Linked DNA regions of Cricetulus griseus. The protein of the gene in region 1 binds, or shares a complex with, the protein of each later gene. Links are inferred from orthologs where the notes say so. Each region holds a gene or a part of one and is shown on either strand. Other genes may lie near its edges.

Region 1 (5,158 bases):
CCCCAGGTTCAATCCCAGCACCACCAAAAAAACACAGAGCAAAACAAAAAGCAATAGCACTAGCAACTAATTAATACCAGTTGCACTAATGAAAGACAAGCTCTCCTGTTATACAGAACGAACAGTTTATGATTGACTTTTGGAAAGGAGCTAAGTTTTATATATTTAAAAAAGCCCTTTCCAAAATGTATACATTTATTTCCTAGTTTACTTATTTAGGCTAGCATCAAAAAGAAAAATGCAATAGCTGTCTGACTTTCTTTATGGTATGAAGTATCCTCTGGGTCATAGAGGATGTCCCTTGGTATCTTGCACAACAATTTGAAGCCCTTCTTCTGCACATAGTTCTGCTAAAATGCAAACTTGCTCTAGCTCAAAATCTCCTTACAGCCAGGTGTGGTGATGCATGCCTGTAATCCTAGGAGTTGCAAAGCAGAGGCAGGAAGATCTTATCAAGTTCAAGGTCAGCTGGGATACATATGAGGTTCTATAACAACAACAACAAATCCTCTTAGTGGCAAAGGATGTAAACATTGATACTTTATGCTAAGCTCATTTAGGTATACATATGAATTTCAGTGTCTAAGGAAATTCAGTAATTATCACTCTTCTGTTACAGTTTTGTGGAGGCTGGTACTTCTACGTTCAGGCTTACAAAGCACTGAAGCATAAGACAGCAAATATGGATGTGCTGATTGTGCTGGCAACTACCATTGCGTTTGCCTACTCTCTGGTTATTCTTCTGGTCGCCATGTATGAGAGAGCCAGAGTGAACCCTATTACCTTCTTTGATACGCCTCCTATGCTCTTTGTGTTTATTGCCCTAGGTCGATGGCTGGAACATATAGCAAAGGTAAAGTAAGAAAGGTGACATTTGTTAAAATATTGGATCAGTCAAACACCTTCTTATGATCTCTGTGAGTTCGAGGCTAGCCTGGTCTCCAGAGCGAGTGCCAGGATAGGCTCCAAAGCTACACAGAGAAACCCTGTCTCGAAAAACCAAAAACAAAAATCAAAAAACAAAAAAAAACAAAGACCTTATTTTCTAGACTGCTTATTAGAAATGTGTATTGATTTTTATAGTTAACCATTTTAGTTTTAGCAGTATCTATTGAATATCCATGGTACTTTATGAGAAACATTTGAGACGTACTTATTTGTTATACCAGATTATTAATTGAGAATTGATTTGGCCAATTGGCTTAAACCTGATGTCAAAGTTCATTCATGCTCCCATGTTGTGATGAAAGTCAGTTTCTAATCCTGTTCCATGTAACTTTATGTTTAGCAGAGTAGAAAAAACTATACAGTTTTTTCCCTGACTGTAGTCTAGACAATCACTTGCTTTTTCTGTTAGGTCACTGTGCTCTTATTTACTAAACCATTCTTTTCAATTAAAATTTTTCCAAATTTTTCTTTTAGATAATCCTAAGATGAACATATTCATGTCTAATAGTCATCTCCTGTGATCTGACTACCTTGGGAGTAATTAGAAAGGATATGGTACTGTCTTAAAGGGCATATATCTTTCCATGCTCTCATGCTATAAGCTGTAGGAAATTTTGCCAGTGAGGGTCTGTCAGTCTTCAACACTGCATCTTATCTAAATTCTTGCTAAGTTAGTAGATGAATTACAAGATGGCTTTAGTTTGAGTTTCTGAATAATCATTTCCCCATATGTTGAGTATTTATAGTCCCTGTTGAATGATCTACCTATTCATGTGCTTTGCTCATTTATGAATTAGATTCCTGATATTTTTCTAATACTTGTATTTCTTTATAAATTACACCTAGTACTTTTGAATGCTTTTCATAAGATATTTATTTTCCAATGAAAATTTGTTTCTGATTAAATGTTTCAAAGCTGATGTTTGAGTGAATGTTAAAGGTTTGAACAGTTTCTTTCTTAGCATCATTATTGTGTTTTAATTTATAGGGCAAAACCTCAGAAGCTCTTGCAAAGCTAATTTCACTACAAGCAACAGAAGCAACTATTGTAACTCTTAACTCTGAAAATCTCCTCCTGAGGTATTTATCTTCATTTCCTTTTGTAACTTGTCTTAAACATTTTATTGTGGTGTGTATACATATGCCTTGGCACATGTGTGGAGGTCAGAGGACAGCTTGTGGGAGTTTCCTCCTTCCATGTAAGCCCTAGGGATAGCACTCAGGTTGTTAAACTTGGCAGCAAGCACTCTTACCTGTTGAGCCAGCTTACTGACCTTCTTTTGTAACTTCTTATGGTATTTTTCCCTTTAGTGATTCCTCCTTTGACTAAAGGAGAAGGTAAGGAAGGAAGGAATGAAGGAGCTGTTCTATTTAAGAAGAAACATAAGATACCTTGTGACAATTATGTATAACTACTGAGTGTCTCACGTAACACAGGCTGATCTTGAGCTCACTGTATATAGCTCAGAATGACTTTGAACTCATGATTCTCCTGCCTCCACTTCCCAAGTTCTGGGATTAACACTGTATGCTACTATGGTATTATTTTTTAAGCCTTCAATTATTCAGTGATTATTGATTTGTTTTGTTTTGTTTTGTTTTTTGAGACAGGATTTCTCTGTGTAACAGCCCAGGCTGTCTTGGAACTCACTTTGTAGACCAGGTTGGCCTCTAACTCATAGAGATATGTCTGCCTCTGCCTCCTGAGTGCTGGGATTAAAGGTGTGTGTCACCACTGCCCATTCAGTGATTATTGAATAAATATGTAGAGTGTCTGCTTTGGGCCAAAACTTTGTGCATTACTACCAGTGAGCAAAACTGATATAAATAGTTGTTTCTAGCATAAATGTTGCTCCTAGGTTCTGTTGGTAATAATTATGGAGCTATAAGCTTGGCATGATCTCCAAATTGTGTGTGTGGAGGTTAGACTAAGAAGCAGATGCCATGACACTTTTTATGTTAACTCATGTGCAGTGAAGAACAAGTGGATGTGGAACTTGTACAGCGTGGAGATATAATTAAGGTGGTTCCAGGAGGCAAATTTCCAGTGGATGGCCGTGTTATCGAAGGACATTCTATGGTAGACGAGTCCCTCATCACAGGTACGTTCTGTCAGAGGATCATGACATGAAAGTGAAGTGAATCCAAAGTGATAATGAAAAGCAGACACCAAAGGAGAACCAATAAATGTATAAATAATGAGCAAAGAATATGAGTTCTTTAAAGACTGCCTTCAGTTTCCTCAGGGTTACTATGTTTTTAGGTATGTTGTTGAAGACTAAACATTGAAGATTTCTTTTTTTTAAAGATTTATTGATTTTTATTTTATGTGTATTAGAGTTTGGCCTGCAAGTGCTCCTAACATGCTGAACCATTGCTCTAACACCCACACTGAAGAGTCTTAATTACTAGAATGCACAAGAACAAAGTTATTCAGTGCCTTGTAGAGCCAGGTTGACTTTGGCAAATATCCCAGAGCAGATAAATATTCTGTTTTCCTGCCTAAGCAGCTGATGTAGTCAAAGCTGGGCCAGAGTTCGAAGTTTTCCACATCAGGGCAGCTTGAAGAAAGCAGGCAGGACTGGAAGATGTTTAGAAATCTTGGCTAACAGAGTCCAGTGTGGATCAGAATCAAAAATAACACCTCTCCCACCTCTGGTAGTCGTAGTGGATGCTCAGTTTATTTATTAATTCAGGACGCTGTTTCCCCGTGGTCTGCTATTGCCAGTTTAGATGAGAATTTTTTTTTAGTTCTATGTCTTGAGCTATGTAGTATAATTTAGTGACCCTGATCCTGGCCTACTAAGCAGTAGTCTCGGCGCTCTACTCCCATCCAGTGTTACAAAGAAAAATGCCCTCCCACATTTCAAAATGCCCCTTAAGAACTTCTGCTCTACGAGTAGAATGAAGCTCCTAAAATATCTGTGGACAAGAGCTAACATGGTAAGCTTTTCCAGTTCAAGGTCTACATCCCTGTGTTTGGCCTAAAACTAAGGTGAGAAAAAAGGAAGGGCAACTTTTACCTTTGCAAGTGTCTAGATTCTAGTTCGAGAAGAATGTCTTTTCTAGGTATTTGTTGACACTGAATTAATAAACATGTTTCAAGAGGATACTAATCATTTTTGTTGTCTGATTGTTTTCCTCTTCCTTCAGGGGAGGCAATGCCTGTGGCTAAGAAACCTGGCAGCACGGTAATCGCAGGTTCCATTAACCAAAATGGATCCCTCCTTATCCGAGCAACCCATGTTGGAGCAGACACAACCCTTTCTCAAATTGTCAAACTTGTAGAGGAGGCACAAACATCAAAGGTAACCTAGTCCCCTAGGAGCAGAAGGTATTTTCTTTAAAGCTTCCTACTATGAATCTTGATGTGTATTTTCTTTTGATCTAGTTGCATTCATGTGAAGTTTTATTAAAATATTTCTGTCTATGCTAACTACCAAATATATTCTGTATTTGAAAAAAGACTTAAAGACACTCATTATTATTATTATTCTAAATTCTAGGCTCCTATCCAGCAGTTTGCAGACAAACTCAGTGGCTACTTTGTTCCTTTTATCGTCTTGGTTTCCATTGCTACCCTCTTGGTGTGGATTATAATTGGATTTCAGAATTTTACAATTGTGGAAACCTACTTTCCCGTAAGTGACTTGCAACAACTCTTGACTATATTCAAAACATTTTGTGAATCTTTTGTAGAATTAATTAAGTAAAAATAATTTTGAGGAGCTGGAGAAATGGCTTAGCAGTGCACCTGCCTACACTGGGCAAATTGCACCCATCTGTAACTACAGCTACAGCACAATTTGATGCCTCTGGCTTCTGAGAATACTTTCACTTATCTTCACATAACCACAAACAGATACAGACACATAAGAAAAATAAATAAATGATTTTGAACCAGGTGTCCTGGTGCATGCCTATAATCTTAGCACTCAGGAGGCAGAGTCAGGCAGATCTCTGTGAGTTTAGGGCCAACCTCTACAAGTATCAGGCCAGCCAGGGAAGAACAATGAAACTTTGTCTCATAACAAACACACTTTGGAAATGAACAATACTGGCTGAGAATGTAGATGGTATAATGATGCCCAGCATTTGGTAGGCCATGTGTTTATCCTCAGTATCAAAAAGAGCCATATCCTTTCTTCTATTCTCCCCCTGACTCAAACTTTCTGCTCCCTCATGACCTCTGCATCCCTCCTCTTCTTCC
Region 2 (5,807 bases), on another chromosome or scaffold:
CTCCCAGAATAAATCTGGGGCCACCTGTGCTTGACACTGGCTCTGTGGCTTTTGCGTCAGCCTCTGTGACATTTCTGTCCTGGACAGACAGATGGAGGTTCTTGTTCTCTAGAAGTCAAGAGTCCAGTTGGGGAGAAGAGCAGAGAGTGGTATTAGTTCCCTTGTAAGGGATGCAGGTGTTTTTCCAGTAGCCTCCCAGCCAGACTTCTAAGCCAGGACCCAGGCACTCTGCATTCAGCGGGTCACGGCTGTGCCCTTCCTAATAAGGCTTTGAGCTCAGTTTGGGACTGGCGTGCAGGGGACAGGACCTACTTCTTGGACACCATGTCTCAGCTTTCTGGATGGTGGAATCTTACATCCACCACACTTTTGTATCTGGGGTGGAGGGGGCGGTGCTTCGGATGTGGTATTAGGTAGGCTGACCTTGAAGTTCCTGCACTCCCCCTGCTTCCAATTCCCAAGTGATGAGATTACAGGTGCTCACCCTGCCCAGTCTGCTATATTCTTAGTTATTTTAGTTCATTTGATTTAAGACAGGTTCTTGGGTAGCTCAGACTGGTCTCCAATTCATGATTCCCTTGACTCTCAGCCACCACCCCCCCAATCCACCTATTCTTTGATTCTTAGGCTTTTTCCTGTTAGCCAACTTCTCATAACTTCTGTGTACAATAAATTGCCTGGTTTTCTGACTGAACCCATCTTGATACACAGAATGACAAGTTGCCTACTTAGTTTAGGGATCTTCTCTTAACCTTCTGCTCAAGGAACATAAATGGCTGGTGGTGGAGATCAATCTAGGCCATCAGTAGTCATCTAGTGGCTCCTGCTGGCACTGCTGAGAAAACCCATCTTCAAGGGTATTGGATTACCCATGTAGTAACTCAACTAACCATGGCAGCCATAATTGCATGGGAATAACACTTGCATTCTCACAGGTTTTTTTGTTTTTCTTTAGGATAGGAGTGCTGGTTAGATTTTTGTAAACTTAACACAAGCTAGAGTCATCTTGAAAAAGGGACTGTAATTGAAAAATTGGTTTCATCCAATTGGCCTATAGGAAGGGGGAGGGGAGGAAGTTTCTCCCTCCAGAGTGCTGAGAATAAAGGCCCCAGCTACCTTGAACTCCGGATCCTCCCGCCTCAGCTTTTTCTGTTGTTTTAATTTTTCCTTGGCTTTTGGCTTTGTTTTTAAGATGGTTTCTCTGTACAGCCCTGGCTATCCTGGAACTCACTCTGTAGACCAGGTTGGACTTGAACTCAAGAGACCCTCATGTCTTTGACTCTGGAATGCTGGGATTGAAGGTGTGTGCCACCACAACCAACTCTGCCTCAGTTTTTCAAGTGCTGGGATTACAGGCGTGTACCTATATGCCTAGTGTCTTAAAAGAAATGGATTTCTTTTATTTTTCCTAATGTTTTTCAGGATAAGGTCTCATGAATTCCATGAAGGCCTTGAACTCTGCAGCCCAGGGTCCTGAACCAGGAACCCTTCTTTTCTGAGCCTCTCTCTAGTAGCTGGAACAACAGGCCTGCAGCCCTAGGCTAGCCCACTCTAGTGTAGCAAGGAATGCCGGGATCCATCCTTTCTAGGAGTCTTGATCTTGCATTCCCAGTGAAGAGCGCAGTTTCACGTCCTAAGATCTCATGTGACAACTTCGGGCAAGTCTCAAAACAGTCCAGTCCCTCCGGCCCCTCCGGAGGGCCAGTGACTAAGCTTCAAAGAGGCGGGGCCTAATAATATATTGAGACTAGAAAGAGGCGGGAACTAAGTGGAGGCCAGCCCAGGGGGCGGGGCCAGGCTGTAATTCAGCCGAAAGGGACGGGAACTAAGCAGAGCCTCCCTCAGGGGCGGAGCCTTGCCATAGCTGAACCCGGAAGGGGCGGGGAGTAGGCGGAGCCCAGTCCTAGGGCGGGGCCTAACAGTAGGCTGGGTCGGCTTGAAAGTGGGGCTTCCAGGAACGCTCTCCGGAAGCGCCGCATTGCTGCCCCGGGAGAGGCGTTCCAGTCGTAGTCGCTGCCGCCGCCTTCCCAGCCTGTGCCGCGTCAGTCATGCCGGTAAGTGGCCTTGCCGCTCCACCCGTGCGAACCGTTTTCTCCGGCCCGATGCACCGCTGCCCGACCAGACGCTGCTATTAGGGCGCGTGCCATGGCCGGAGCTGCAGTCATGCTTTAGTTTACTCTCCCTCCGCACTCGCCCTCCAGCTTCGCGACCCTCGGGAAACCTGTAGAGAGAACTGTATTGCAGAATATAGGCCTCAAGATCGCTCTAGAGAGTCAAGGAGCAGCCCCAATCTTCCCTGCACGATGGAGAAACTGAAACCGGGAGGTAGGGCAGAGAACCCGCATCGGGACGCCGGTACCTGCCCTTTCCAGGTGCATGCCCCTGCCGCCGAGCTAGTAGGTTTTCAAAGAAGTAGGTCTCTCCACCTCCCCTGCCCACACTGGCCTGCTTCCACTTCAGCCCTGGGCAACCCTGAACCGAAAGGATACTTTCCTCCTTTCCAGCCAGGAGTTCCCAAAGCTCGGAGCAGAGTTTCCAGAGCCAAGAGCAGCGCTTACCTTGCCTTTGAAATCACCCACTCCTGTGCATGGTGGTTTCTAGCCTCATAGCCTCATTGCTTATTAATAAAGGCCTTTGGAACATTACACAAGATAAGAAAAAGCCCAGTGTTTGTTGGAGAGTATTTATTGGGCGCTAGTTGGGCGCTAGGTAGATAGGATCCAGGATGAAGCCAGATCACCTGGGAAGTGCTGGGCAAAACCAGTTGTACTGCTTGCCTTTGAGCTCTGATCTGTGTTGAGTTCCTGAGATAATGGTTAGGGCCTTGGAGTCGGGAGCATTTTTCTCCTGGTGCCTCTGAACCCAGTGGGCATATTTTAGCGGGCTTATCGTCTGTGAGTGAACCAGAGGCTCCCACCTGATGCAGACTTAAACATCTCAGGTGGCACTTGTGGTTCTTACCCTTTGTCTTGAGAGACTTTTCCTCAGATCGCACAAAGCACAAACAAAAGACTTGATAAAGTCCATCCTACCAGTCAAGCCAGTCTGTCCTGCAGTGTGAGGCTCATTCATAACCCTGGGATCCCAGAGTCAAGGCTGCCAGGCTCTCCTGGGGAGAGCAGTGAAGAAAATAACTTGCAGACCCCTCTATTCTGTGTCTGCCTCTGGGGACTTTCATTGGAGTGAGGCATATAGTAGACACCTTAGCTCAAGACCAACAACTAAAGGTATCTTTCAAGTGCCGCCTCCAGTCTAGCCAGGGGAATGAGTTTTACCAAAGGTGGTTTGCATGCCAAAGCTTAACCCAGTCTATGCCCTATGGCTTGCCAGCTGGGCAACTTCAGGCAAGATGTTCTGTCTCTCTGTGTGTGCCTTCCATCTCCTCATCCATAAAATAGGGATTGGAAACTGACCTTGCAGGGCTGTGTTTGGTATTAACTAGAATGATGTCATCAAAATATCTAACACAACTAGTGACCCATCCGGTCCCCAAGGAGTGGTGTACCTCCTGTGTAGATGTAGGACAGGCTTCCACCCCATTTTAACGTGGACCTCAGTGGTTAAAAGTTAGAGTTTTGTGTACTCTGTCCAACCCAGGCCCTGTTACTCATGAGCTGCATCTCCCTGAGTCAGTACCCAACCTCCAAGCTTCAGCTTTCTCATCTCTTGGGAATAGGAAGAGTTTCCTGGCTTATGGAAGCATTGTAGCTATCAAACAAGACAGTGTACAAGGTGTTTAGAAGAAGGCCTGGCACATCAGAGATAATTAGATATTAGTAATCAGGAATCCAGACACCAGTGTCCAAAGACACAATGTTCTCTAGAAGAACTTCTCCTCTTCCATTCCCACTGTTCCAGTTCTAGAGGGTCTGTTAAAGAATTGTACCACTTACCGGCTCTCTGAAGTAATACTGTATGTAATAATACATAATACATAATACAGCGTGTTGCCGTAGAACATTAATATATACGTCAGAGGATCCATTTTGCTTGTTTTCTGTTACAGCATCTCACACTGTAACTCAGGTTGGCCTATAAGTGAATATGTAGCCCAACTGATCCTTGTAGCAATCCTCCTACGTAGGCCTCCCAAGTGTTAATTTGGGGCCTGTGTATGCTCTGCCATTCTTCCATGACCCTTTTGTAAGAGGCACTGGGGAGACATCCAGGGATGGAGCAGGTCTTGAGATAGTCCTGTGAAGACTGGATCACCCTATCCATTAGGCAGAACTTTCTGTCATCCTCAGGTGTAAACTGCAGAGTTTGTAGGCAGAGGTGTAGGGAGTTCTGAGTTGGAGTGGAGTGTTGGCCTCCTGTGAGCTGCCCACCCCCCCACCTCTGTACTGTGAAAGACTTCCTTGTTAGGGTCTTCAGTTTGGAGCTCAGATAACTGTTGACTTTAGATCCCTGAGCAGCAATTACTTATCTTCTGAAACCCCCTTCAGAGATTCTTCTCAGAGTCAGTTTGTGGAGGATGGGCTGTTATAAAACCAACAAGATTTCCCTGGAGCAAAGAAAGCCTCTCTAGGGCTCCTGCCTTTGCACCCATGGCCTCATCACCTTAGTGACCTCCCAGCAAGAGGAAATGAATAGTTCTGTTTTCAAGCTAGGAAAATACTGCAGAAAGGAGTTTGAGGGTGGTAGGATGGGTCAGCTGATAAGGATATTTGTAGCAAGCCTGATAGCCTCTGACATCCACACTTACTCAATGGCACACACTCACACATGCAAATAAGTGGATAAGTATAGTATACTTATTATCTTTTAGGTTTATTTGTGTGAGCGAGAGTGCATGCGCACCATTTATGTGCAGAGATAGAAGAGCTTCAGATTCCCTGGAGTTGGAGATACAGGTGGTTGTAGTTCAGGGAACCAAACTCAGAACTTCTGGGAAAGTACAAGTAGTCTTAACTACTGAGCTGTCTCTCTAGCCCTATTTATTATTTGAAATGAAATATTTTTTATTATTTATTTAAAAATTAGTTGTTTTGTTATTGGGGGGGTGGGGAGATTGAGACAGGGTTTCTCTGTGTAGCCCTGGTTGTCCTGGAACTCACTCTGTAGACCTCTGGCCTCGAACTCAGAGGTCCGCCTGCCTCTGCCTCCTGAGTACTGGGATTGAAGGCATGCACCTGGCTTTTATTTGCTTGCTTGTTTAGGTTTTTCCGGGCAGGGTTTTTCTGTAGCTTTGGAGACTGTTATGGAGCTCGCTCAGTAGACCAGGCTGGCCTCGAACTCACAAAGATCTAACTGTCTCTGCCTCCCGAGTGCTAGGACTAAAGGCATGCACTGCCTAGTTCCTGCTTTTTTTTTTTTAATTATATGTATATGTGTTTGTCTGTGTGGGTATGTGTACATAAGTGTAGGTGCCTGTGGAGTCCAGAAAAAAGCATCAGATCCCCTGGAGTTAAGAGTTACAGGCTGTTGTGAACCTGATAATGTAGATGCTGGGATTCAAACTTAGGTCCTTTGGAAAAGCAGTATGTGTTCTTAACTGCTGAGCCATCTCTCCAGCCCCCAAATGTAATTTTCAATATCATGTGCTTGTAGCAAGTGTAGCCTAGTTTATTTGGTAGTGCTGGAGATTGAGCCTAGGGCCTTAGGTCATGGCAGGCAAGCTTTATACCACTGAGCTACAATCCTTCAGAAGGTAATAGTGCTAGCTGCTCTTGCAGAGGAGCCAAGTCCAATTCCTGTCACCACAGAGCAGCTCACAGCTACCTCTAATCCAGTTCCAGGGGATGCTACATATCTGAGTTCAGGGAAGTCCTGGTGTGCACAAACTCATGAAGGTACACACATATACA

What was found.
Region 2: the proteins of Atp7a (region 1) and Atox1 are in contact, whole or in part, in an NMR structure (PDB 2K1R), measured with the Homo sapiens proteins. The link is inferred for Cricetulus griseus from reciprocal best matches to the Homo sapiens genes ATP7A and ATOX1. Residues at the interface, in NP_000043.4 of Homo sapiens: Cys19, Asn20, Ser21, Cys22, Trp24, Thr25, Gln29, Asp67, Asp68, Met69, Gly70, Phe71, Asp72; in NP_004036.1 of Homo sapiens: Thr11, Cys12, Gly13, Gly14, Cys15, Ala18, Arg21, Val22, Lys25, Lys57, Thr58, Gly59, Lys60.

Annotation. Positions count from the first base shown.
Region 1 is NC_048604.1:64,651,556-64,656,713, reverse strand, and holds part of Atp7a (copper-transporting ATPase 1), read left to right. Parts: intron 1-619; coding exon 620-853; intron 854-1,936; coding exon 1,937-2,028; intron 2,029-2,922; coding exon 2,923-3,050; intron 3,051-4,101; coding exon 4,102-4,256; intron 4,257-4,454; coding exon 4,455-4,589; intron 4,590-5,158. UniProt on the Homo sapiens protein: ATP-driven copper (Cu(+)) ion pump that plays an important role in intracellular copper ion homeostasis.
Region 2 is NC_048600.1:69,641,105-69,646,911, reverse strand, and holds the start of Atox1 (copper transport protein ATOX1), read left to right. Parts: upstream 1-2,100; 5' UTR 2,101-2,303; coding exon 2,304-2,372; intron 2,373-5,807. UniProt on the Homo sapiens protein: Binds and deliver cytosolic copper to the copper ATPase proteins. May be important in cellular antioxidant defense.